Callithrix jacchus: one gene and its partners. The protein of the gene in region 1 interacts with the protein of each later gene in a biochemical or structural test. Links are inferred from orthologs where the notes say so. Each region holds a gene or a part of one and is shown in the gene's direction. Other genes may lie near its edges. The genes, in order: OXSR1, WNK4 and WNK1.

Evidence for each region.
Region 2: the proteins of OXSR1 (region 1) and WNK4 are reported together in a solved structure, tested with the Homo sapiens proteins (2 studies listed by BioGRID and IntAct, with this or other methods). The link is inferred for Callithrix jacchus from reciprocal best matches to the Homo sapiens genes OXSR1 and WNK4.
Region 3: of the proteins of OXSR1 (region 1) and WNK1, one has a biochemical effect on the other in vitro, tested with the Homo sapiens proteins (2 studies listed by BioGRID and IntAct, with this or other methods). The link is inferred for Callithrix jacchus from reciprocal best matches to the Homo sapiens genes OXSR1 and WNK1.

Annotation. Positions count from the first base shown.
Region 1 is NC_133518.1:76,078,604-76,086,171, forward strand, and holds part of OXSR1 (serine/threonine-protein kinase OSR1), read left to right. Parts: intron 1-2,095; coding exon 2,096-2,205; intron 2,206-4,420; coding exon 4,421-4,522; intron 4,523-5,171; coding exon 5,172-5,305; intron 5,306-7,568. UniProt on the Homo sapiens protein: Effector serine/threonine-protein kinase component of the WNK-SPAK/OSR1 kinase cascade, which is involved in various processes, such as ion transport, response to hypertonic stress and blood pressure.
Region 2 is NC_133506.1:121,107,702-121,115,734, reverse strand, and holds the start of WNK4 (serine/threonine-protein kinase WNK4), read left to right. Parts: upstream 1-1,508; 5' UTR 1,509-1,597; coding exon 1,598-2,212; intron 2,213-3,185; coding exon 3,186-3,437; intron 3,438-3,637; coding exon 3,638-3,810; intron 3,811-4,838; coding exon 4,839-5,059; intron 5,060-5,313; coding exon 5,314-5,471; intron 5,472-5,960; coding exon 5,961-6,049; intron 6,050-6,129; coding exon 6,130-6,346; intron 6,347-8,033. UniProt on the Homo sapiens protein: Serine/threonine-protein kinase component of the WNK4-SPAK/OSR1 kinase cascade, which acts as a key regulator of ion transport in the distal nephron and blood pressure.
Region 3 is NC_133510.1:14,065,692-14,073,259, forward strand, and holds the end of WNK1 (serine/threonine-protein kinase WNK1), read left to right. Parts: intron 1-1,484; coding exon 1,485-1,511; intron 1,512-2,998; coding exon 2,999-3,186; intron 3,187-3,646; coding exon 3,647-3,964; 3' UTR 3,965-6,593; downstream 6,594-7,568. UniProt on the Homo sapiens protein: Serine/threonine-protein kinase component of the WNK1-SPAK/OSR1 kinase cascade, which acts as a key regulator of blood pressure and regulatory volume increase by promoting ion influx.

The DNA of each region.
Region 1 (7,568 bases):
TTAGTGATAAAAATACCTAGTACTTATTGAGTGTTTAGTATTAAAATATATTACAGGGACTATTTCAAGTATATTATTAATTCATTTAATCCTCAACAACAACCTTGTTGAGTAGCTACTGTTATTGCCTCCTTTTTATAGATGAAGAAATTGTAGCACAAAGATTGAAAATACCTGCCCAAGTTCAGCTGACTAGTGGCAGAGCTGAATGTACTGAACGTACTTTTTCCCCTTTCCAGTGCACTTAAAAATGTTTCCTTTATTATTGTTGTTACAATTGGAACAGCATTTTAAAGTTCTTAGAAATTTGCCAGTTTGAGAGCTTTGAAAACTGTTATTATTATTATTTTAGAGAAAGGGTCTTGCTCTGTCATCTAGGCCAGAGTGCAGTGGGGTGAACGTAGCTCGCTGCAGCCTCCAACTCTTAGGCTCAAGCAGTCCTCCTACCTCAGCTTCCCAAGTAGCTAGGACTGCAGGTGCCCTCCACCATGCGCAGCTAATTTTCTATTTTTTATAGACATGGGGTCTCACATCACTGTGTTTGTTGCCCAGGCTGGTCTCAAACTTTTGGCCTCAACTGCTCTTCATGCCTCAGCTTCCCAAAGTACTGGGATTACAGGAATGAGCCACTGTGCCTAGCCAAAATTATTGTTTTTTTAAATTTTTCATAATTCTAAGTACATTCAGACAAGATTATTGTTTTTTAAACCTGTATTGACTTGTTATTTTTCAGTTGTACCGTATAGACAAGCAATTATTTCAAATAAATTGCTTGAAAGTGGCAGAATTCATAGACTTCTGAATCTGGAATTTTAAAGTTTACCATGCTAAAATTATCCTTCAAACAATCAGTTTGTCCATAATTTATTGTATTTTCAAATTGAAAAAAAAGTATGAAATAGAAATTCTGAAAACAGATAAATTTGAAAATACAATAAATTATGGACAAATATGGGCTCATTTTACTTAATGCAGAGTGTTCTGGAACAGACACAAAAGTGGAATCAGAAAAGGTGTACAAAAGTTGGATATGGTATATAAGAGCCTCACTATATTAGTTAAAGTTCTTTTGGTTGTATTGGAAATTATCACCGGCTGACTTAACAAAGCAGGAATTATTGAAATAAACTAGGAAGTACACAGAATAAAAAAATCAACTGAACAGCTAAGCCTCAGAATGGGCAGGAACCCAGTTGTGCTGGTGACCTTCAGGATGCTGTTAGCATGGCTCAGCTTCATTGACCCTTAGTTTCCTTGTCTGTCCATTCAAGCTTCACATTTCTAGAAGATTTAAGATAGGCCTGCCTTGGATTAAGGTGTCTAACCCTGGCTCAAATCAAGTATGCCCAGGGGTCAAGGTGAGGGAGTACAGATATACACCCAGGGCTAATTACAGAAAAAGAGGGATCCTGAAGAGACAAGCTGTCCTCCGTATTAGTGACTGGTACTTTGGCTTCAGTATTGTGGGATAAAATCTTCGTAGAGAAAATCCTGAGGCTTAGAGAAGTGAACTAAGTTTACCATTGTCATATATCCACTAAGAGGTGAAGGAAGTTAGGATATGTATTAAGAATTATGAACTTTAATTTATTTGGGGCCAAGTTCTTGAGAGCTCTTTGAATACTAAGTTAAAAAGGTTGAATTTCATTCTGTAGGATTTTCTGAGCTGAAAGGGTCATGTCAAAGTGATAATTTAAAAATGAATGAATGAATGAATCTAATAGTGGTATGTAGAATGGATTAGAGCAAGAAGGAAAATCTGAGAACATGAAAACGTGGCGTTGGAGAGGAATGGAGTGAGGCACCTGCTAAACTATGTCTTTTTTGTTGTTTTTGTTTTGTTTTGCAAAGATGAACTCCTGGGCTCAAGCGAGCCTCCTGCCTTGGCCTCCCAAGAGTGTTGGGATAATAGGCGTGAGCCACTTCTCCCAGTCTAAGCTATGTCTTAATTTAGCCAAGAAGTTCAGCAAAAAGATGAGAAACTATCATGCTTCTAATCTTAGATATAGGATGGTGACTACATTTTATTGTTTGCCTATTCATTTATGAGAGTTGATGCACTTTCATACAACCTTGCTGTTGTATTCTGTTTCAGACTTTGGGGTTAGTGCTTTTTTAGCAACTGGTGGTGATATTACCCGAAATAAAGTGAGAAAGACCTTTGTTGGCACCCCTTGTTGGATGGCACCTGAAGTTATGGAACAGGTACTGTGTCTTTTTGTCTGTTTTAAATGGGTTAGGGCTTTGTTATGAAACTGAGAAAACTTAAGTGTTTGCTTTTCTTTGGCATACCAGGTTAGCTTTGGGAAACATGTCCCGGTTTCTTGGTTAGGACTTTAGTCCACCCTTGAAAACAAAATAACAAAAACACTCTAGGACTTTGCAAAGGATATATGAAACTCAGGAATAATATAATCAAGGTTTGTGTTAATTTTATTAGTATAAATTAGTACAATAATTTGTACAAATTAGTACAATAATTTGTACAAATTAGTACAAATTAGACTAATTTTTACATCAAGATTTATTGCTGTGTTTCTCGAAGGACTGGTTGTCTCTATGTTCCCATTTCCCATTTCCCCTTCAAACAGTTGCAGTCTGGTGTCACTCATCCCATTATTTTAAGGAAACTCTGCTACTTCTCAAATCCAGAGCTCATTTCTTACTCCTTATTTAACTTGTCTGATTGGTGATATTTGAAACTGTTGACCATGCCAACTTTATTCACGTTCCTAGCCTCCTTAATGTTGTTTCTTCATTCTTGTCTTGTTTGTCAAGCCATTCCTCTGACTTTGCTGGCTCTCATTCTCCTGAATGACACTGCTTCCCACGACCTTATTCTTGAGCTTTTCTCTTCTCTGACTGCAAATACTCACTAGGTATTCCCATTTGTGCTTCTTATTAATGATTTCTAAATTATGTCCAGTTTTTTTTCCCCAAAACCTCCATATAGGTATTGCTAGTTCTTAATAAATGCTTCACATAAATGCCTTATAGATACATCAAACTCAGTATGCTTTGAACTAAATTCATTTTGACTCTGTTTTAATCACCTGCATTCACCCTGTTGGTGAGGGAAGGATTCCCACTGTAAAGTTATGGGAATGGCTGAACGTACAGCACCTGACACTGGACAGACGAGATTGATAGCTGTCTCATAGTCACATATACTCACAGCCTGGGGAGGAGGACACTTGCATGCCATGCTGGACCAGTGGGGTTGCACTCAGTAGCAGAATGAATGAGAAGGGGCTTTGGAGACGGGGTTTGTAGTACCAGCAGAGTGTGATGACCCTTGGTTTCCTTGAGAAGATATGATTGACTGACAGGGAGCTGAAACTTGCTTCTCAGGGCCAAGCAGGAACTGTACCTGGTCATTTGCTAAGGAGGATTGTCGGGCTAGGAGACATTATCTGCAAGAGCAGAGTGGGGAGGGGGCCTTAGGTCACTAAAGGCCCTTCAGTTTTACCAGAGGACAAGGCAGCACATACTATTGATCCTTACTTTTAGGTCTTTTTTGTGGAGGTGGAGTCTCACCATGTTGCCCAGGCTGGTCTTGAACTCCTGGTTTTAAGCCCACACTACACACTCCCCAAACCTATTTCTCCTATATTGCTTAGGATAGAAAATTAAAATTTATAGCCATATAATTTGCTGGTGACAGTAGAGAAATTTGGCAACATATTCACTCTAAAAAGTTTAAAAGTATTCACAATCTTTGTAACCTTTTCATTGTGGAAATTAAGGTGCCATAATGTAGATCCTTTGGAAAACAAAAAAGCCACCCCACTACAAAACATTTTGTTTTAGTTTTTTCCAGTATTTTACTGTTTGTAAAAGTTTCAGGACTCATGAGCAATTTTTTTTCTTCATGTTTTATCACAAATGTTTCTTACATGTTCATATAGTATTAGTAAATACTGCTTTTAGCTGACTGATTTTTTTAATATACCATACTTAACAGTTTCTTCACTGTTGGGGAACATACACGTTGTGTCTTTATTTTTTACTGGTTTAATGCTTATGAACACTTTCATTGTTCTTGGTACACATTAGAAACTAGCCTTTTTGTTTATTTTTAGAGACAGTCTTGCTCTCTCGCTCACTCTGGAGTACAGTGGTGCCATCATGGCTCATTGCAGCCTTCAACTTCTCAGCTTGAGCTAGCCTCCCAAGTAGCTGGACTGCAGGTGGACATCATCACTCCTAGCTAATTAAAAAACATTTTTATGGAGATGGGTCTCACCATGTTGCCCAAGCTGGTCTTGAACTCCTGGCTTCAAGCCCACCTAATCCTCCCACCTCAGCCTCTCACAGTGCTAGGATTGCAGGCATGAGCCACTGCGCCTGGCCTCACAACCTAACCTTTAAAAGTCCTTTTATGCTGTTAAAAAATAATCATGCAAATCTGTTCTTGCAGGTCCGAGGTTATGATTTCAAAGCTGATATTTGGAGTTTTGGAATTACAGCAATTGAATTGGCCACAGGGGCAGCTCCTTATCATAAATATCCACCAATGAAGGTGAGGTTCATATTCTAAATACTACCCCAGCTCAAGTCCCAATTCCTTTTCACAACCATTTGCCAGTCTTTTATTTTTTTTTATTGTGGCAAAATACACATATCATAAAATTGACCATCATCTTTGACCATTTTGAGTGTATAGTGCAGTGGTATTAAATGCATTCATAATGCTGTGCAGTTATCACTACCATCTGTATCCAAACTTTTCATTTGAAAACTGGAACTCTGTACCCATTAAATAGTAACTCTTGATTGCCGCTCTTTCTCAGCCCCTTGTTTGTCTCTATGATTTGACTGCTCTCAATACCTCATATAAGTGGAATCACACAGTGTTTGTCTTTACATGACTAGTATTTCACTTAGCATAATGTCCCCAGAGTTCATCCATGTTGTAGTATATTGCAGAATTTTCTTGCTTTTTAGTGCTGAATAATATTCCATTGTGTGCATGTATTGAGAAGCTAACCATCTACAGCATGTTATTTATGTGAAATACACATAAAAATTCTGAGTTTTAAACAATTGATTTAGATAGAAAATAAAATGTTATATGTTGGTATGGGGTGCCTATATTGAAAAATCTTGACCACAATAGGTAAACTTTACTGAGCCATCACAAGTTTATAGTATACTGAAAATTCTTACAGGTTTTAATGCTGACACTGCAGAATGATCCCCCTTCTTTGGAAACTGGTGTTCAAGATAAAGAAATGCTGAAAAAATACGGAAAATCATTTAGAAAAATGATTTCATTGTGCCTTCAAAAAGATCCAGAAAAAAGGTAAAATATGAGAAAAAGTTTACTTTTCTCTCTAATAAGTAAAACATTGTGAAGAAGTCTAAGAATCACACACATGTATGTAGAGGAAATTATTTGTACATATTCAAATGAACTAAATATAAACCCTAAGAAAGTATGTAGAGATTGGAAATGATTTCTGCCCTCTTTGTAGCATACAGTGTACCCTAAATAGTTCAGCCTTTTCCTGATTAATTCCTTATAAAGTTGTACATTGTGAATTCTGTATTAATAAATGCCAAGTTAGTTGAGAAGTTTGTTTTCAATTTGCATTTAAAATTTATAAATGGATGCCTTAATGCCATTTACAGTATGAATAAAGGAAAGGCACATAGAAAATTTATATTTAGTGTCAAATAATCATATTTATTTCCATGTTAGAAAAGGATTTTAGTAAGTGGACCAGAAATTCAGATAGTTTCCTTATCAATATGAGACAGATTGAATGGTAAGTAAGCAAATACATAAGAACATCTAATGTGTGTAGCTTCATGAATGAAACATAATCGTAGCGTGTTGGGCACAACCTTTTATTTTTAAGGTCACCTGGTACTTAGTTATAGGGGTAGGACTTTAATCTCAAAGTCCTGATTTCTAATTTAGGGCTCTTTTTCCTCTGAATCTTATTTGTCTGTTTTACATATGTATTCTACTCAGCTTCTAAGCACTGAGTTCTTTAATATCTGTTTCTCTAAAGATCATTAAGAGGGAAAGACTGATGTTGTTGATCACATCTGTAGCATATGTAATAAGGCTTCAGAATTTATTGTTGGAAATGTTGGAAAGGGCCAGAAAAACAGGTAGCAAAATTTATAGCTGTGTTTTTATAATTTTTTTTTCTGTTTGGGAGTAAACGGTTAAAAAAAGACAGGGAACACTTTCTTTTACAAAATTAGTTGATTAAAGAAACAAAATTCTCTTGTTACAAGTAACTAGAAATGCCAGATAAAAATCTATGCAACTTAAAGATTCTCAGATGCCAAAAATAATGAGGAAAGCCTTAAATTAAAGAAGAAATAATTGTGAACAAATCCTGTGGCTGTCTTCAGTGGGTCACTATTCATTCTGATAACTTACTCACTTGGATTTGTAACTCCCATGTGAAGACTGGAGTTGAGATCTTAGGCCCATCCTGTAGGGAGTTTGAACTGAGATTCTTCTTAAAAGTAAGAACTTCAGATGTCTGTATCCTTAGTAAAAGGATAGACAAGAATGAAAACTGTCAGTCATCAGTAACAGACAACAAAATCTCTCCTGAATAATCAAGCCCTTCAACTTGGACATTCTACAGGTTTAGAGTCTATATACTACCTATACTGTCTAGGACCCACAGGATTAGAAAGTTAAAAAAACAAGTCACTTTTATTTTTGACAGAAGTAGTCACAGAGCTGCACTGGAAAAACACTTAAACTCTAGCTCCCATTGGATTCCTGAACATAGTGCCCCACTGAAGATAAGGTCACAATCCAAAATTAAGAAACATGCAGTGAAACAATACATTATGAACTAGTTAGCAGACACAAGCAGAAGGATTAGTGCCCCAAGAGATTTAGGTAATAGAGTGATAATCTGAAAAGATATAAAATTAAGTATATTGAAAATAATTAAAATCATAAGAGAAGAAATCAAAACCACAAGAAGAGACTGTGACTATGACAAAAGAACTAAATAGCAATGCCGGAAATGAAAAATACAATAATTAATGTTTAAAACTTTATGAGCATGAACTGGACTTACTGACTCACTTTTGGCGAGAAGAGTATGAAAAGGAAAAATAGCAACTTTTAATGCACCTCCTCTACCAAATGACCAAGGTTAACATCACTATTAATAAGACATTGATAAGACTGATGTACCTCTTGGCAGTGCAACAAGATGAGCACATAACCAGTGAGGTATTCTTCCTCCAAATCTGTAACTTCAGTCTAGAGTGAGAAAACATCAGACAAACCCAATTGAGGACTATGCAGCAAAATACCTGACCAGCACTCTTCAAAACTGTCAAGGAGAAGAAACTAAGAAACTGTTGCAGATTGGAGGAAATTAAGATGACATGAAGACTGAATGCAACAGACTGTCCTTGTACTAAATCCGGGCACAGAAAAGACATTAGTGGGAAAACTGGAGAAATTGAATAAATCTGTAGTTTAGTTAATAGTATTATTATTATTATTTTTTTGAGATGGAGTTTCACTCTTGTTACCCAGGCTGGAGTGCAATGGCACGATCTTGGCTCACCGCAAC
Region 2 (8,033 bases), on another chromosome or scaffold:
AGACTGGATCTGTGACTCCACCAGACTCAAAAGGGCTCCAGTCCTGAAGGCTGGGACCTGGGGATGGGTTTCTCACCCCCCCTATCCCTTGGATAGGGTGAGGCCGAAGCACCAGGGAGAAAAGAGGTGCTTCTTCTTGCCCTACCTCCTCTCCCATCCTAGCCTGTCCCTGAGCCAGGGTCTGTAAACCTAACACTTTATATTTGTTCACACATGTAAGAACATACACACATGAGCCTGCAGCACATGCTTCTCTGTCCCCTCCTTCCACCCCTTTAGCTGCTGTTGCCTCCCTTCTCAGGCAGGTGCTGGATCCTTCCTAGGGGATGGGGGAAGCCCTGGCTGCAGGCAGCCTTCCAGGCATTATGAAGATAGGAGACCCATGGGCCTGGCAGTGAGAGGTGTGGCCCAACACTGATTTCTGATATTAAAATCTCAGCTCCCACTGCCTGCCTCTTAATTACTACAGTATGGAATGGGTATGGGGAGGGCTGTGAAGTGTTACCATCCGAGTAAATCCCAGCCAAGGAGAGGAGAGAGAAGAAAGCCTATGGCTTTTGTAGAAGAAAAGGTCCTCCAGAGCCCTGCGGGCTCCAGTGAGCCTGTGGTTATACATCTGCTGGGTGGGCTGTGTGGAGGAGTGCTGATGGAACACAGCTTGGGGACAGACTGCTTTCTCTCTGAATTGGAGTTACTTAAGGGCTCCCGCGTTCCTCACCATCTCCCCCATGAAAGTCCTGAACTACTCTGAAGCCCCTCCCTCCACCCATCTGGTCTGGGTGGGGTCGCTGTGGCCAAGGGGAGCTGAGGGCGTAAGCCGGATGTGGACTTTGGTTTATTGGAGACTTTGGCAAACAGAAGGGGAGGAAGGAGAGCCCACATAGCAAAAACAGCCACTCTGGCCAGGGCCAGGCTGCGGCCAAGGTGGCCTGGAGGGGATGGATGACCAACCGGGCTCTCGATTTGGGGGAGGGACTTATCCTGGGGAGTACACACCCATCCCTATGTAGACCAGAGGTACAACAACGTCGGACCTTTCCACTGACCTCTGTATGGTCGGCCTGGGGCTACTCCGGACTGTTCGGAGGGGGTAGTGCCGCCTTATCTGGGGTGTGCAGGCCGGTGGTAGTCTCCCTCTAAATAACCCCTCACTAGAGCCCGGGAGCCGCAGGCACGTTTCCTCTCCCATCCGGGTGTCGTCTCCCCCCTCAACTCCCCCTGCCCCCCATCCCCGCGCACAAACAGGTTTTCGCACTCTTAGTGCGGGAGGACACGGCGGTCTCGCACTCAGTTCTGGCCTCGGAGCGAGACTGCGGCCGGGGGCCGGGGAGGCTCGGGAGATGAGGGGAAACTGCTGGGTGGGGCGGCGACTAAGGTGAGGGGCTGCTCATCCACACCGCCCGAGCCACTCGGAGGGGTGGCCTGGGGGGCAAGGGCGGGCCATGGGGCGGGGCGGGGCAGGGGCGGGGCCGGGCCGAGCCAGGGGCTGGGGCCCCAGCCGCTCAGCTGGAGCGCTGCGCACCCAGCGGGTCCGCCTGTCAGGCTGCCTCCTCTCCGACCGTCTGGCTTTCCGCCCTTCGGCGCTCTGCGCTTCCTCATGTTGGCACAGCCGGCCACGGAGACCGCCGTCCCCACGTCCCAGACTGAGGCCGACCTGGCCCTGCGGCCGCCGCAGCCTCTTGCCTCCGCGGGGCCGCCCCGCCCCGGGCCCCATCCTCGCCGAGCGCGCCGCTTCTCCGGGAAGGCAGAGCCCCGGCCGCGCACTTCTCGTCTCAGCCGCCGTAGCTCAGTCGACTTGGGGCTCCTGAGCTCTTGGTCCCTGCCAACCTCACCCTCTCCGGAACCCCCCGATCCTCCGGACCCCGCTGGTCCTGGCCCCGCGAGGAGCCCACCGCCTAGCTCCAAAGAACCCCCCGAGGGCACGTGGGCCGAGGAAGCCCCTGTGAAGGCTGCAGACTCCGCGCGTCCCGAGCTCCCAGACTCTGCAGTGGGCCCGGGGTCCAGGGAGCCGCTGAGGGTCCCTGAAGCTGTGGCCCTAGAACGGCGGCGGGAGGAGGAAGAAAAGGAGGACATGGAGACCCAGGCTGTAGCAACGTCCCCCGACGGCCGATACCTTAAGTTTGACATCGAGATTGGACGTGGCTCCTTCAAGACCGTGTATCGAGGGCTAGACACCGACACCACGGTGGAGGTGGCCTGGTGCGAGCTGCAGGTGCGGCTGGGCGCCCCCTCGGTGGCACCTTGGGATGGGACTCTGGAGGTCTTAGATGAGAGACAGCGGGTGGGGGAGACAGCATCAAGGGAAGGATGTATTTTTCCAATCAAATGTCCAGACACCTCTGCTGTCTTTGCCCTGAATGATCTGGCTGACTCTGGCTGCAGGAGAAACTGAGGCAGGTGGTGTCTGGTGACTCTCCCATGGGCATGAACATTCTCACTTTAAAGTCTCCATACTCAACCCTGAGAGGTGGAAAATAGGATAGGAAGTTGGGCTGGGGAGCCAATTCAGGTCAGTTTCCTGCTGGTGGGTATCCACAATCCCTTCCTCTCCCCTAAGTCCAGAGATCCTCAGTTATGACCCTGGTCCTCTTGATCCCCTCACTCCTCCCCATCCCCCACCTATTTGCAGACCAGGAGGCTGGGAGATGGGAAGCCAGGAGCTGGGCAAGGGTCCTTTCCAACTCCAGAAGATTTAGGGAAGTTGTAGCAGAGTGGGGTTCCCTAGACCCTTCTGGAGCAGTCAGACTTCTGGACTTCTCCACAGCTGCAAGGAGGGGGACATAGGGAGTCCCAGCTCTCGAATAAGTGCAGTTCCTCATCCCACTGCCTACCTGTGCTCTCCCTTCCCGGACCTAAAGGCACTAAACCCGTGGGCTTCAGGAGGACCTTCCTCCCGTCGCTCCCATGCTACATGTGAGTTAGGAGAACCCAGTCAACTTGGGGCCTGAAGCTTCAGATTCAGATAAGGGCACAAAGCCTAAGGGAAGGGTCCCTCTCTAGCCCTGGCACAGGGCTCACCCCTTGTGCCTGCCAGTGCCGCGCCCCAGGCTCTAGGCCAGGCCAGGAGAGGCAGCCAAACTGGGGGGTGAGGGGAGGGAGAGGAGTCGGGGCGGGACAACTATGGGGGGGGTGGCTTCCTGGCGCCTAGTCCTGGATCTTTTCTTTCTCTGTACCTCCCTCCACAGCCCTCCCGCCTTCAGTCTGGATCTAGCAGTTCCCGGTTTCTGGGGCCAACCCCCTTGCCGGCCCCAATTCCCTGCCAGCGGTCTCCTGCTGCCCGTCTGCTGCCTGCTCTCTGCCATCCCCTGGGCGCCCCCTCCCGCCCCATGGCCGGTCTGGGCAGCCACAAAGGCACTATTGAGCTCAGGACTCCTGGATGGGGCTGCATAAAGGCACTTGTGTCCAGCAGGGGGTCTAGGGGGCTGCCCCAGGCCCAGGTTGGTTGTGTCCTTGGAGCAGCTTACATGGGTACTGTTGGAGAGTTCTGGGTCTGCAGCCCATTGGGCGAGTGATCCCACTAATCCCACCCCATCTGTGGGAACCAACCCTCACATCTTCCCCAACCCCACTCCAGTTGTCCCCCTTCCTTTCCATGGGGATCCTGGGCCTGACATGACACCCATCCCCCGTCCCACAGACTCGGAAACTGTCTAGAGCCGAGCGGCAGCGCTTCTCAGAGGAGGTGGAGATGCTCAAGGGGCTGCAGCACCCCAACATCGTCCGCTTCTACGATTCGTGGAAGTCAGTGCTGAGGGGCCAGGTTTGCATCGTGCTGGTCACCGAACTCATGACCTCGGGCACGCTCAAGACGTGAGCTCTGCGCATGAGTGGGTGGGGAGAGGGAGGCTGGGATGTGTGCCCACTGCTTCCTGAACTCCCAGGCTCCTCAAACTGTCTATATCCAGATGTAAAACCAGGCTCACCATCTCCTCTTACCCACCCTGTGTCCCTCCCTTGGTGAGTGGCTATGTCCAGCCAGAGCTCCAGTCAGAAACGTGGGTGTCTCCCCAGACTCCTCTCTCTCCTCTCTGCCCCCTCATCAGTCTGTCTCCACGTCTCTCCTTAACCTCTCCCTACCTGACTTTCACTGCTCCATCCATGCCACCACCTCGATGCCACCTTGCTGATCTGGAGCCCTGCAGCAGCCCCCTAAAGGGTCTTCTCAAACTCTGCCACCCTCTAAGTGATCCTATCTTCCTGCAGCCTGGAGGATCTTTCCCAGTCAAAAATCTGAACTGTCACTCCCCTCCTTAAAACCCCTTCAGGTTTTCTCATGTCCTCGGGATAAAACCCACATGGGCTCATCTGCTCACACTGGACACGCTCAAGCGTGCCTCCTTTGCCAAGCTTAGGATACAGCCCCACTTTCAGCCTAAGTTCTAGACACACTGAATTCCTGGGACCTCCTCCCACTCTGCCCTGCCCTGGCTTTTTCCGTGCCTTTGAGCATGGTGTCCTGTCTGCCTGGAAAGTTTCCATCCCTTCCCCCTTTCACCTTTGAGCTTCTACTCATCATTCAAGATGCAATACAAAAGTATTTCCTCTCTGAAGCCCTCCCTCATGCTCGGGGCAGTTAGTCATCTCTTCCTGCGCTCCCACAGCACCTCGGCGGAGGCCCTATCTATCAATTTACCTCCCAACCTGTTTGGTAACATCAAGTCTATCCACCACATCCTCTGACTCAGTTTCTCCCCGGGGCCGGGCAGACATAGGCTAGGAGAATGATGGCAGAAGATGAGGAGGCAGCAGCAGAGTGCCGCAGGGGGGAGCTTCCCGGTGGAGGGCCCCTCCCCCGAGGACGTGTTCCCCACCGACCCTGGCTATGCTCCCTCCCCCAGGTACCTGAGGCGGTTTCGGGAGATGAAGCCAAGAGTCCTTCAGCGTTGGAGCCGCCAAATCCTTCGGGGGCTTCATTTCCTACACTCCCGGGTTCCTCCCATCCTGCACCGGGACCTCAAGTGCGACAATGTCTTTATCACGGGCCCTACTGGCTCTGTCAAAATCGGGGACCTGGGCCTGGCCACGCTTAAGCGCGCCTCCTTTGCCAAGAGTGTCATCGGTGGGTCTCTCCAGGAAGGTCCTTCCTCCCCCACCTCAGAAGAGAACCTGGGGACTCCCTCCCCTCAGCAAGGCCCTTCAAGGTCCACAAAATTACCAGACCACAGGGAAGCTGGGGAGATCTATGGCATTCCCCCTCAACCCCACTGTGGGCTGGGGTCACTTGCACCCCAGGGTTGCCCAGGGCTGCCCAGCCCAAGGGGCAGGACGAGGCCAGAGTACCCAGCAACCTGATCCCTGCTGTGAACCCTACAGGGACCCCGGAATTCATGGCCCCCGAGATGTATGAGGAAAAGTATGATGAGGCTGTGGATGTGTATGCATTTGGCATGTGCATGCTGGAGATGGCCACCTCTGAGTACCCGTACTCCGAGTGCCAGAATGCCGCACAAATCTACCGCAAGGTCACTTCGGTGAGAGGGATGGGGTTGGCAGGAATGGGAATTCCAGGTCCACTTCCCATTTTCCTGCCCGGCCAGCCCACAGTCAATGCCCTTTGCCTGCACAAAAACAGGCTAGACACAGAGATGCCTTGGTGAACCCAGAAGGATATCCATGCTATTTAGAATAATAATGTGTGTGGTGCTCCCAAGAGTTCACAATTTCACATCCAGTCTCACATCCAATCCTCCCAGCTGCCTGTCGAGGTGAGCAGGGCAAATGTTCCTCCCTGCAATTTACAGATGAAGAAACAGTGGGAGACTTGTTCAAGGTCACACTGTAAATACTTGGGTTGGTTGGGGGGACTGGGATTTGAAATCAAATCTTGCAGTAGCAGTCAAGCTTTTGCAACTGCACGTGCAGCTGCCTAAGGCAGGAGTGGAGTAAAGGGTGGAGGGGGGGTGTGAAGCCAAGAGCTGGGGGTCAGAGGATGGGAGGTGTCATGCAACCCCTCCCCACAGGGCACAAAGCCGAACAGCTTCTACAAGGTGAAGATACCCGAGGTGAAGGAGATCATTGAAGGCTGCATACGCACGGATAAGAACGAGAGGTGGGAGTGAAAGGGCAGAGAGTGGGTAGAGTAGGGGCCCAGGCCACGGCGGGCTCGGCTCACCCACGCCTCACCCTCAGGTTCACCATCCAGGACCTCCTGGCCCACGCCTTCTTCAGAGAGGAGCGCGGTGTGCACGTGGAACTAGCGGAGGAGGACGACGGCGAGAAGCCGGGCCTCAAGCTCTGGCTGCGCATGGAGGACTCGCGGCGCGGGGGGCGCCCACGGGACAACCAGGCCATCGAGTTCCTGTTCCAGCTGGGCCGGGACGCGGCCGAGGAGGTGGCACAGGAGATGGTGAGCGGAGGACAGACTGTACTGCCACTGGGCGTGTAAAGGACGTTGACCGGAGGGGATAGTGCAACAGGGATGGGCGCAGGAGAGGTGGCAGCGATGGGGGCAGGCCACCTCCCGGCTCTCAAGACATCCTGCAGCGTCTCCCTGCCTCTCCAGCCCTACCTCAGGCGCATGCACACCCAGTTTTCCTTTACAAAAGGGAGCCTTGGGTCCTCCAGGGTCCCTGTTTTACCTCCAGCTTAGCCTTTCTTCCTGGAATGCCTTTTTTGCCAATTTATCTTTTCCCTCTTTCCTCCCTCCCTCTTGTTCTTTTTCTTCCAACATGATCAGATCCATCCATTTTGGAAAGCCATCCCCTCTGGAGTCCAACTTAAATGCTCCTTTCCACTTCAGCAGGTTCTTGGTTACAGCACTCATCACCATGGGTCCTGTCTTAAACCTGAATAAGTTCCTATCTTTCTTCTCCACTGAACTATAAACTCCCTGAGGACAGAGACTGTGTTTTATTGATTCTTCTGTCCCTGGCAATGCTTGGCACATAGAGCTTATTCATAGCCCATATCTGTACATGGCTTAAAGCACTGTTGCCAGGCACAGTGGCTCACACCTGTAATCCCTGCTCTTTGGGAGGCTGAGGTGGGTGAATCACATGAGGTCACGAGTTGGAGACCAGCCTGGCCAACATGATAAAACCCTGTCTCTACTAAAAATACAAAAAATTAGTTGGGCATGGTGGCACGCACCTGGAATCCTAGCTACTCAGAGGCTGAGGCAGGAGAATTGCTTGCACCTAGGAAGCAGAGGCTGCAGTGAGCCAAGATCACGCCACTGCACTCCAGCCTGGTCAACAAGAGCAAAACTCCATCTAGAAAAAAAACAACAGCCATTTTCACATGCATTTGAGCTTTGCTACCCATCCTGCATACGGAGCAGTTTTATGTCAACTTATTGATGAAGAAATGGAAATTCAGAGAGGTTGAATACCTTGTCCAGAGCCTCAAGTAAGTAAGTGGAACAGCTGGATTGAAACTGAGGTGGTTCAGATTTTAAATCAGGTTACCCTGCTCCACCTCCTTTACTCACTCACCAAAGCTTGTGGCTAAAAGGAATGAGGCAGTGATGAATGGAAGCTGGTAGAAGAGAAGAGGCATAAGATGCAAGGGCAGAAGCCTGGGGCTGGCTTAGGAAGTCCTGAAGGGAGTATGGGATTTTGGGGGGAGTGATGGAGTCCCGCTGTCACTCAGGCTGGAGTGCAATGGCACTATCTCAACTCATGGCAACCTCTACCTCCTGGGTTCAAGCGATTCTCCTGCCTCAACCTCCCGAGTAGCTGGGATTACAGGCACAAGCCACAATGCCAAGCTAATTTTTGTATTTTTAGTAGAGACAGGGTTTCACCATGTTGGCCAGGCTGGTCTCGAGAACTCCTGACCTCAGGTAATCTACCTGCCTCAGCCTCCCAAAGTGCTGGGATTACAGGTGTGAACCACTGTGCCCTGCCCCAGGTATGGGATTTCTAATACAGAGATGACACTTGCAAGGGTGGAGACAACCTATGGTGGGTCAAGAACCTGAGAATGTGTTAGAAATTTAGAGTAAGTCTCCATAGCACTGCCCAACCTGACCTGAGATCAAATCTGATCCACTGATGACAAGGGATTCTTGGCCTTGGCACTGTTGACATCTT
Region 3 (7,568 bases), on another chromosome or scaffold:
GTTATTACCCCAACAGGAAACTCAGCAGTGATTAATCATACAAAAGTCCATGCCCTCCCTTTGTTCACATTGAAGTGGGAGATGTCTGCTAGATTGGTGAGGAGAGAAACACCACTTTGTAGTGTTTGTCTTTTTAGACTATGGCTTCTCATTAAAGTACAGATAGTTCGGCAACCCAGCAGGCCATTTACAATGTTCTAGGTAGGGTCAACAGGGAAATTCTGTACTTGGGATGCTGGGCTGTAAGTTACGGTTCATAATAGGTTATTGTTACTAGGATCTAGTGGTGCGGGAGTAGGGAAAATGTATTATAATGGCAGGAGGAAATTTAAAAATGAATCTTGAGGGTAAGTCTATACTATTTATTGGGGCTTTCCAGAAGAACTAAAAAAGGTTTAGAAGTTAGCATATTCTCTATAGCTTTTATAGTTAGCTCTCCTTTTCTTAGGAGTTAGTTTCTGGTCAGAAAAAGATAAGTTTGTTTCATTCTTTAATGGGAAGCCTGTATACAGAATCCAGAATGCGAAAGTTTAACTGTATGGTTGACTCTTCCTCGTGGTTTCTCTTTCCTCGTGGGAAGAGAATCCTGTATTAGGTAATGTAGGTTAAAATGAAAAGTGAAATTTGGTTCTAAAGGGGCCTCGCAGCATCAGGGCAAAAGACTAGCATCAGACTAGAGAGGTGTGTCTCCCAGCATGAGCTCTTTGTGTATAAGCAGTGGTCATGTCTCCTAAGCTGCTTGTATTTTTAGCTTTTGACAGCCCTGCTCCCCTCTGATTATTTCTGGTTTTTGTTTTGATTGACTCTCACATCAAGCTCACCAAGCAATAATCATTTAAACAGGATGACAGTCCCCATGCATGTGAAATGCTTGCTTTCAAGATTGAGACCCTCACTGTCATGACTGCTCATCCTCATTGCCTGTGCTTCCCACTTCACCACCCTCTCACATTTGCTGTTCATGGAAGGCTGTTTCCTGTGCTTTAATATTTTTCCACTTGGGTTTTCTATACTGTAGGGGAACTTACTCTTCCTTTTACACTGTATGTGCAATAGCCATCCCCTTGTGGCTCCAGCAGGCACCAAGAAGTGAGCTAACACTCACACTGCAATAGTTCATGTCTTGCCATGGTGGTAAGAAGCATGTGACCTTCCTCACTCTACAGCTTCACCTCAGAATTAGCTGGTACTCCAGCACAGACATGCTTGTGTGTGCCGTTCCCTTGGTGGTAGGATATAAGCTTGACTTGAGACCAGTGATGGTCAATAACAGGCTTTTAAGTGGCAGGGTTGCGTTAGGTGTGCTGCTGTGTCTGATGCTGCTTATTTACCCCCAGCTTTACTTGGATATCTTAAAGACTAGTGATTCACAACTTACCAGTGAGATCTGGTAAAACAGGTCGGGGGGAGGGTGAGGAAAACAGACAAGACCATGACTCTTCTTTCCCTCTTCCCCAAAACGTGCCTCTTCGAATAATCTTCAGTGTGCCCTCCAGCAGAGCCGAAATCAGGCAGGACATAGACTCCTTCTTCCTTTCTCATCAAACCATAGAAATAGAATTCCTCCATCGTAACCGCAGAGCTTCCGCCTCCCCTTTGCACCCTGCCTCAGCTGCATTTTCTTGTCGCTTCTACATGGGAGTGCTTGCTGTTCTGGGAAGGTGGGGAGAAACGGTGGGAATCCTTGAGTCAACTGAAACTGAGGTCATCTTCGGGAAAACCATGTCTTCCTGGAGTTGAAAGATTCAGGCACACCATACAGTCCTTTCCTCATGAGTAATCTTGTTCCTTTACTCATAGGAAATTGGGAGAGGTTAACCCCTCTCAAGTTTATGTTTGCACGTTCATGTTTATGGGTGAAAAAGTTTTCTGAACACAGCATGCTACTTCTCTTATTACCTCTCTCTATTTAAAGAATGGCTAGACTGAGCATGGTGGCTCACGCCTGTAATCCCAGCACTTTGTGAGGCTGAGATGGCAGGATTGCCTGAGCCCGGCAGTTCAGTTCGTTTCTGAGCAACATATGGAGATTATGTCTGTATAAAATATTTAAAAATTTAACTGGGTAACTGAGTATGGTGGTGCATACCTCTAGTCCCAAGCTACTTGGGAGGCTGAGGCAGAAGGAGTTTGAGGCTGAAAGTGAGCCATGATTGTGCCACTGTATCCAGCCTGGGTGACAGAGAAGAGGCTCTTCAAAAAAAAAAAAAAAAAAAAAAAAGCCACGCGTGGTAGCTCACGCCTGTAATCCCAGCACTTTGGGAGGCCAAAGCAGGCAGATCACCCGAGGTCAGGAGTTCAAGACCAGCCCAGCCAACATGGTGAAACCCCGCCTCTACTAAAATACAAAAATTAGCTGGGCTTGGTGGTGCACGCCTGTAATCCCAGCTATTCTGGAGGCTGAGGCAGGAGAATTTCTTGAACCCAGGAGGTGGAGGTTGCAGTTAGCTGAGATTGTGCCATTGCACTCCAGCCTGGGCAATAGAGTAAGTCTTAAAAAAAAAAAAAAAAAAAGGTGGTAGTGTCCACATGGCTTGGAAACCCCTTCTCCTTAGCCAAGCATCTATTCCTACTCCTACTTAAACTTTGCCCAAGGCACAAGAAATCCTCTTTTGTCCTACATTCTGCAAAATTTCAGAGCAACAAGCCTTGCTAATCGTATCACACTTCCATCAGCAACATGATGCTGGGAATGGCATACTGGCAAGCAGTTCCAGTACTCTTAGGTGCTTTGTGAAAGAAGCCCTTGCCTTGTGTTACCTACCATCATCCTGAGTTGTTCAGCCTTATCAGCAGCTACTGAAGAGAAACTGTTTTCATCACCCTATTATACCAAAACCAGTGGCTAAACAAAACCTTGGAACCCTTCTTGCATGGCTTCCCAGTTCATCCTCTCCCCATTCTGTGGCTTGCCATTCATCACCCCGTGAAGTTTTCCCTTTTCCTGAAATTGTAACCTAGGCTCCCTTTAATGCTTGTATTCTGTTGCCTGTCATAGGGACCAGCAGCACAAACACTGTTGGGGGAACAGTGAACAGCCAAGCTGCCCAAGCTCAGCCTCCTGCCATGACGTCCAGCAGGAAGGGCACGTTCACAGATGACCTGCACAAGTTGGTAGACAATTGGGCCCGAGATGCCATGAATCTGTCAGGCAGGAGAGGAAGCAAAGGGCACATGAATTATGAGGTAAGTCTCTCTTTTATCATAGAGAATCACATAACACACATCTGAATCCAGTTGATATAAACTACTAGATTGCTGCTTAATGTCTTATACCAGGACCTTCTTTAGTAGCTCATTAATTTTAACATTTTAGAAAAACAAGGCAAAAATCCCCCAGGTACCCTTTTATTTTTTCTTCCCTGAATCTCTAATCTTACTGGTCAGCTCAACTTTTTCTTCTTCCTTTTCTCGTCTTCATCCTGAACTACACACACAGACACACATATGCACATGACATCCCTCCCCTCTCATCAGGATTATTTTCACCCTTACTTGGTAAATATAAAGAGCCAATGAATACTATAGAAGACGCTTTTGCTGTATCTTACAGGATTAGACCAGAAGTATATGTTAGCACCACACATTTTACACCCTTATCTCTTAAACCCACACCAGACTTGACATGCGGTTGTTTTGTTTTCAGGGCCCTGGAATGGCAAGGAAGTTCTCTGCACCTGGGCAACTGTGCACCTCCATGACCTCGAACCTGGGTGGCTCTGCCCCCATCTCTGCAGCATCAGCTACCTCTCTAGGTCACTTCACCAAATCTATGTGCCCCCCACAGCAGTATGGCTTTCCAGCTACCCCATTTGGCGCTCAGTGGAGTGGGACAGGTGGCCCAGCACCACAGCCACTTGGCCAGTTCCAACCTGTGGGAACTGCCTCCTTGCAGAATTTCAACATCAGCAATTTGCAGAAATCCATCAGCAACCCCCCAGGTTCCAACCTGCGGACCACTTAGACCTAGAGACATTAACTGAATAGATCTGGGGGCAGGAGATGGAATGCTGGTGGGGAGGGGTGGGGGGTGGGAGTAGCCTATATACTAACTACTACTGCTGCATTTAACTGGTTATTTCTTGCCAGAAGGGAATGTTTTTAATTCCACGTTGAGTCCTCAGAATGGAGAGTCTCCCCTGCTCTACTAACTGGAGTAGGAGAGGAAGGAAAGAGCAGCTTTCTTGTAAAGGGGCAGCTTCAGACCATGCTTTCCTGTTTATTTGTACTCAGTAGTGAGGATGAGGGCTAGGAAAGTCTTGTTCATAAGGAAGCTAGAGAACTCAATGTAAAATCAAACCCCATCTGTAATTTTGAGTGGGTGGAGTTCTTGATTTTGGTACATGCCCCAAATCCTTTACTCCCTCAAGAATCTGAACCACAAGACAAAAACAACCTATTGGGCTCTCTCCTACCCTGCCCTTCTCCCTTTTTCCCCCCTTCTCTTTTTGATTTTTTCTTTGCTCTTTAGAACCCAGTGAAAAATACCAGGGGACTGGGGTGCAGCCCTTTCTTATGATAGGTCATTAGTGCTTTAAGCAAAAGATACTAGCAGCTTTGACTGCAGCATTAGCAATTAGGAAAAAAAAAATAAGTTCCCTGCGGACATGTAACTTTGCCATCAGTTTTGATGTGGAAACACTGTGATATATAAAATGTTGTTGGACAACAGTAGTTTTAAGAGTAAAATATGAAACGTTTAAAAAGTTCCAAAAAAAAAGCTAGCTCTGTCCTTTACTTATTGAGACACTTTAACTTTTTCCTTTGTATTTCCATTGTATTAGATAAATAAATGTGAATGTAAAATTGTATAAATTACTGTACTTGAATACTTCTGTTTCCCAGTGTTGCTTGCTGGACATTTTAGTGCCTTGGACTTACTTATATTGCTTCTGCCATTAGCATCAACTTATCAGACCCCAGATCAATAAAGGGCATGTGGAAGGAAATCTTAGGTCCATGTGACCCCAGCAGTGGATATGCCAAAGGGAAATAGAAAAAGTATTTTTTTAAGTCCTTCAACAACTTTGTCTAGAGCAGGTGTAAGATGAGTAGGTGGGAAGTTAAGTTGGCATTAGTGGTTAAAAACAAAGTTTTGTTTCAGGAAGAGTGAGGAGGGGGTGTTACAACAAAATTGGGCAACTTAAAAGACCAAGAATGGTATGTGCTGGGTGAAAGACAAAGACTAAAGAATGAGGAAACAAACTTGTTTGGAAGATACATGATACCTGGCCAATGACTGTCATATAAACCTTTATTTGAGCTAGGCTTGAACAGACGTGAACAGAACAGAAGAAATTGAACATAAAGCAAAGGGGGTGGGGGCTAGTTATCAAGTTGGGGAACCTGATAATGAAAAGTCACAGATGGAGAAAGTTGCTCTAAGAAAAACTGGATTGCTTTCCAATCTTGTTGCACATGTACCATGCAGTCCTCAGCTTGGGGTACTATATTTTGTGGAGAGAGAATCTTTCCACATCTGAATTAATAATCATCGTAGGAAAGGATACTTATTCCTACTCATTTCCTTTATGATGTCCAAATGGTTGCAGGATCATAATCTATTGTGCCACCTTTATTTCCAGAAATACAACTAATATGCTCACATTGTCAGATATTCCCCTTAAGTAATAACTGCAACCAATCAGTGTTATTTAGTGCTATGCCTACTTGTAATGGGTAGTTCTGTTGTTTTCAGAGCTTTCCGGAAATACTGTCCTAATTGGCTATGTTTGGGATCTTTGTTATCTCTGAAGACGGACAAAGAAGCTAAAACTCTTAATTTTGGGGTGCTTCTTGACGCGTAGTTGGGAAACTGACATTTCCAACCTTTTACCCACGTCAATGGCATATTCCGGGAATCACCACCACCACAGAAAGAAGCTGAGGCTCTCTGTACCCTGTTCATTCCTTATGGGCCCTGCTTCCCTTCGTAAGTTGGTCTCCGGCCCTAAGTATGCAAATGAGAGCTGAAGGTTTTAAAGAGGTAGAAAGGAAAAGGGCGGGGGTTTCAATCCCTGCTTTAAAAATATTTACTTATTTATTCTCTGCTTATATAGCTTGTGGAGAGTAAGGATAGAACCAACAAGGAGCCGAGTAACTGAGAAAGGGACCACCTAAGAGTGAAAATACTGTATACCGGAGGAGCAGGGGAGCCTAATGCAGCACGTTAGCATTTGTTATTTGAATTTAATAATTTTGAGATTTTTTTCACTCATACACAAAAAGAACTGGTTTTATTTACTGTTAATTCATCTTCCTGCGGATGAAATAACTGAAGCCTAGAGGAACGACCTAGTGCTACTGAACTGTTTAAATTATTTTTGTGTTAATAGTACACTTTGAATATCTTTTTCCACATTAAAAAAAACTTTCTGAATTATAAGTGTTTTCCTTACATTATTTAACAATGTACACTGTTTAAAAAAATAAAAATTCAAACTTCGGGGGTTTCTCAGCAGCCGTTAACTGTACATTTTGCACTAACTCTGGGTGTTGCGCTTCTTGTAAGATTGCGCTTTGTGCTTCCGTTTGTTACCTTTGTAGACTTATTTAATGAAACCATTCAAATAAACCAAACTTGCTTTTGTTGAGCTGTGGGGTTTCATTTACAGAAAATTCCTTCACATTTTCATTGGCACTATTTTAAGTGCAATTTATAACCTGATTCCTAATTTTTGGGGGCTCTTTTGCTACCTCTTCATCTTCCAAAGGAATAGAACAGTCGGCTGCTGGCTAGTATTTCAGACTTCCTTATCTCGGTTCACGGCTTCCCATAAATATGTCTGTGAGCCAAAAAAAAGAAGTCACTGCTTCAAGATAGGCACAGCCCAGTCCAAAATACGTCTTTAAAAAAACTAAATTGGCTGGGCGCAGTGGCTCATGCCTGTAATCCCAGCACTTTGGGAGGCCAAGGCAGGCAGATCACTTGAGGTCAGGAATTCTAGACCAGTCTGACCAACACTGAGAAACCCTGTCTACTAAAAAGACAAAAAAATAGCCGGATATGGTCACAGCGCCTGTAATCCTAGCTACTCAGGAGCCTGAGGCAGGAGAATCGCTTGAACCCCAGAGGTGAAGGTTGCAGTGAGCAGAGATCGCACCACTGCACTCCAGCCTGGGATGCAGAGAGACACCCTCTCAAAAATAAAATTGCAAATTCATTATTTATTTGGGGGAAAAAATTATAAAACATCTAAACACTATGAAAAGCCAATTTCTGGTCAAGGTGGTCACATCGCACGTATGAAATGCAGAAGTAGAAACAGCTGCAGCCTGAGCATCCCTAATTGAAACGCTCTGAGATCTGAAAATTTCTGAGCACTGACATGTTGCCAGAAGTGGAAAATTCCACACATGACCTTGTGTGACAAGCCATAGTCAAAGCACCAGGCACAAAACAGTTTATTCAGCCCCCTGCAGCTGCAGTAATATCGTATACACAAACTTTGTTGCATGCACAAAATTATGTGTATAAGGTATATATGAAACAGGTGAATTCCACGTTCAGGCTTGGGTCCCCTCCACAAGATCTCATTAAGTATATACAAATATTCAAAAAATGCAAA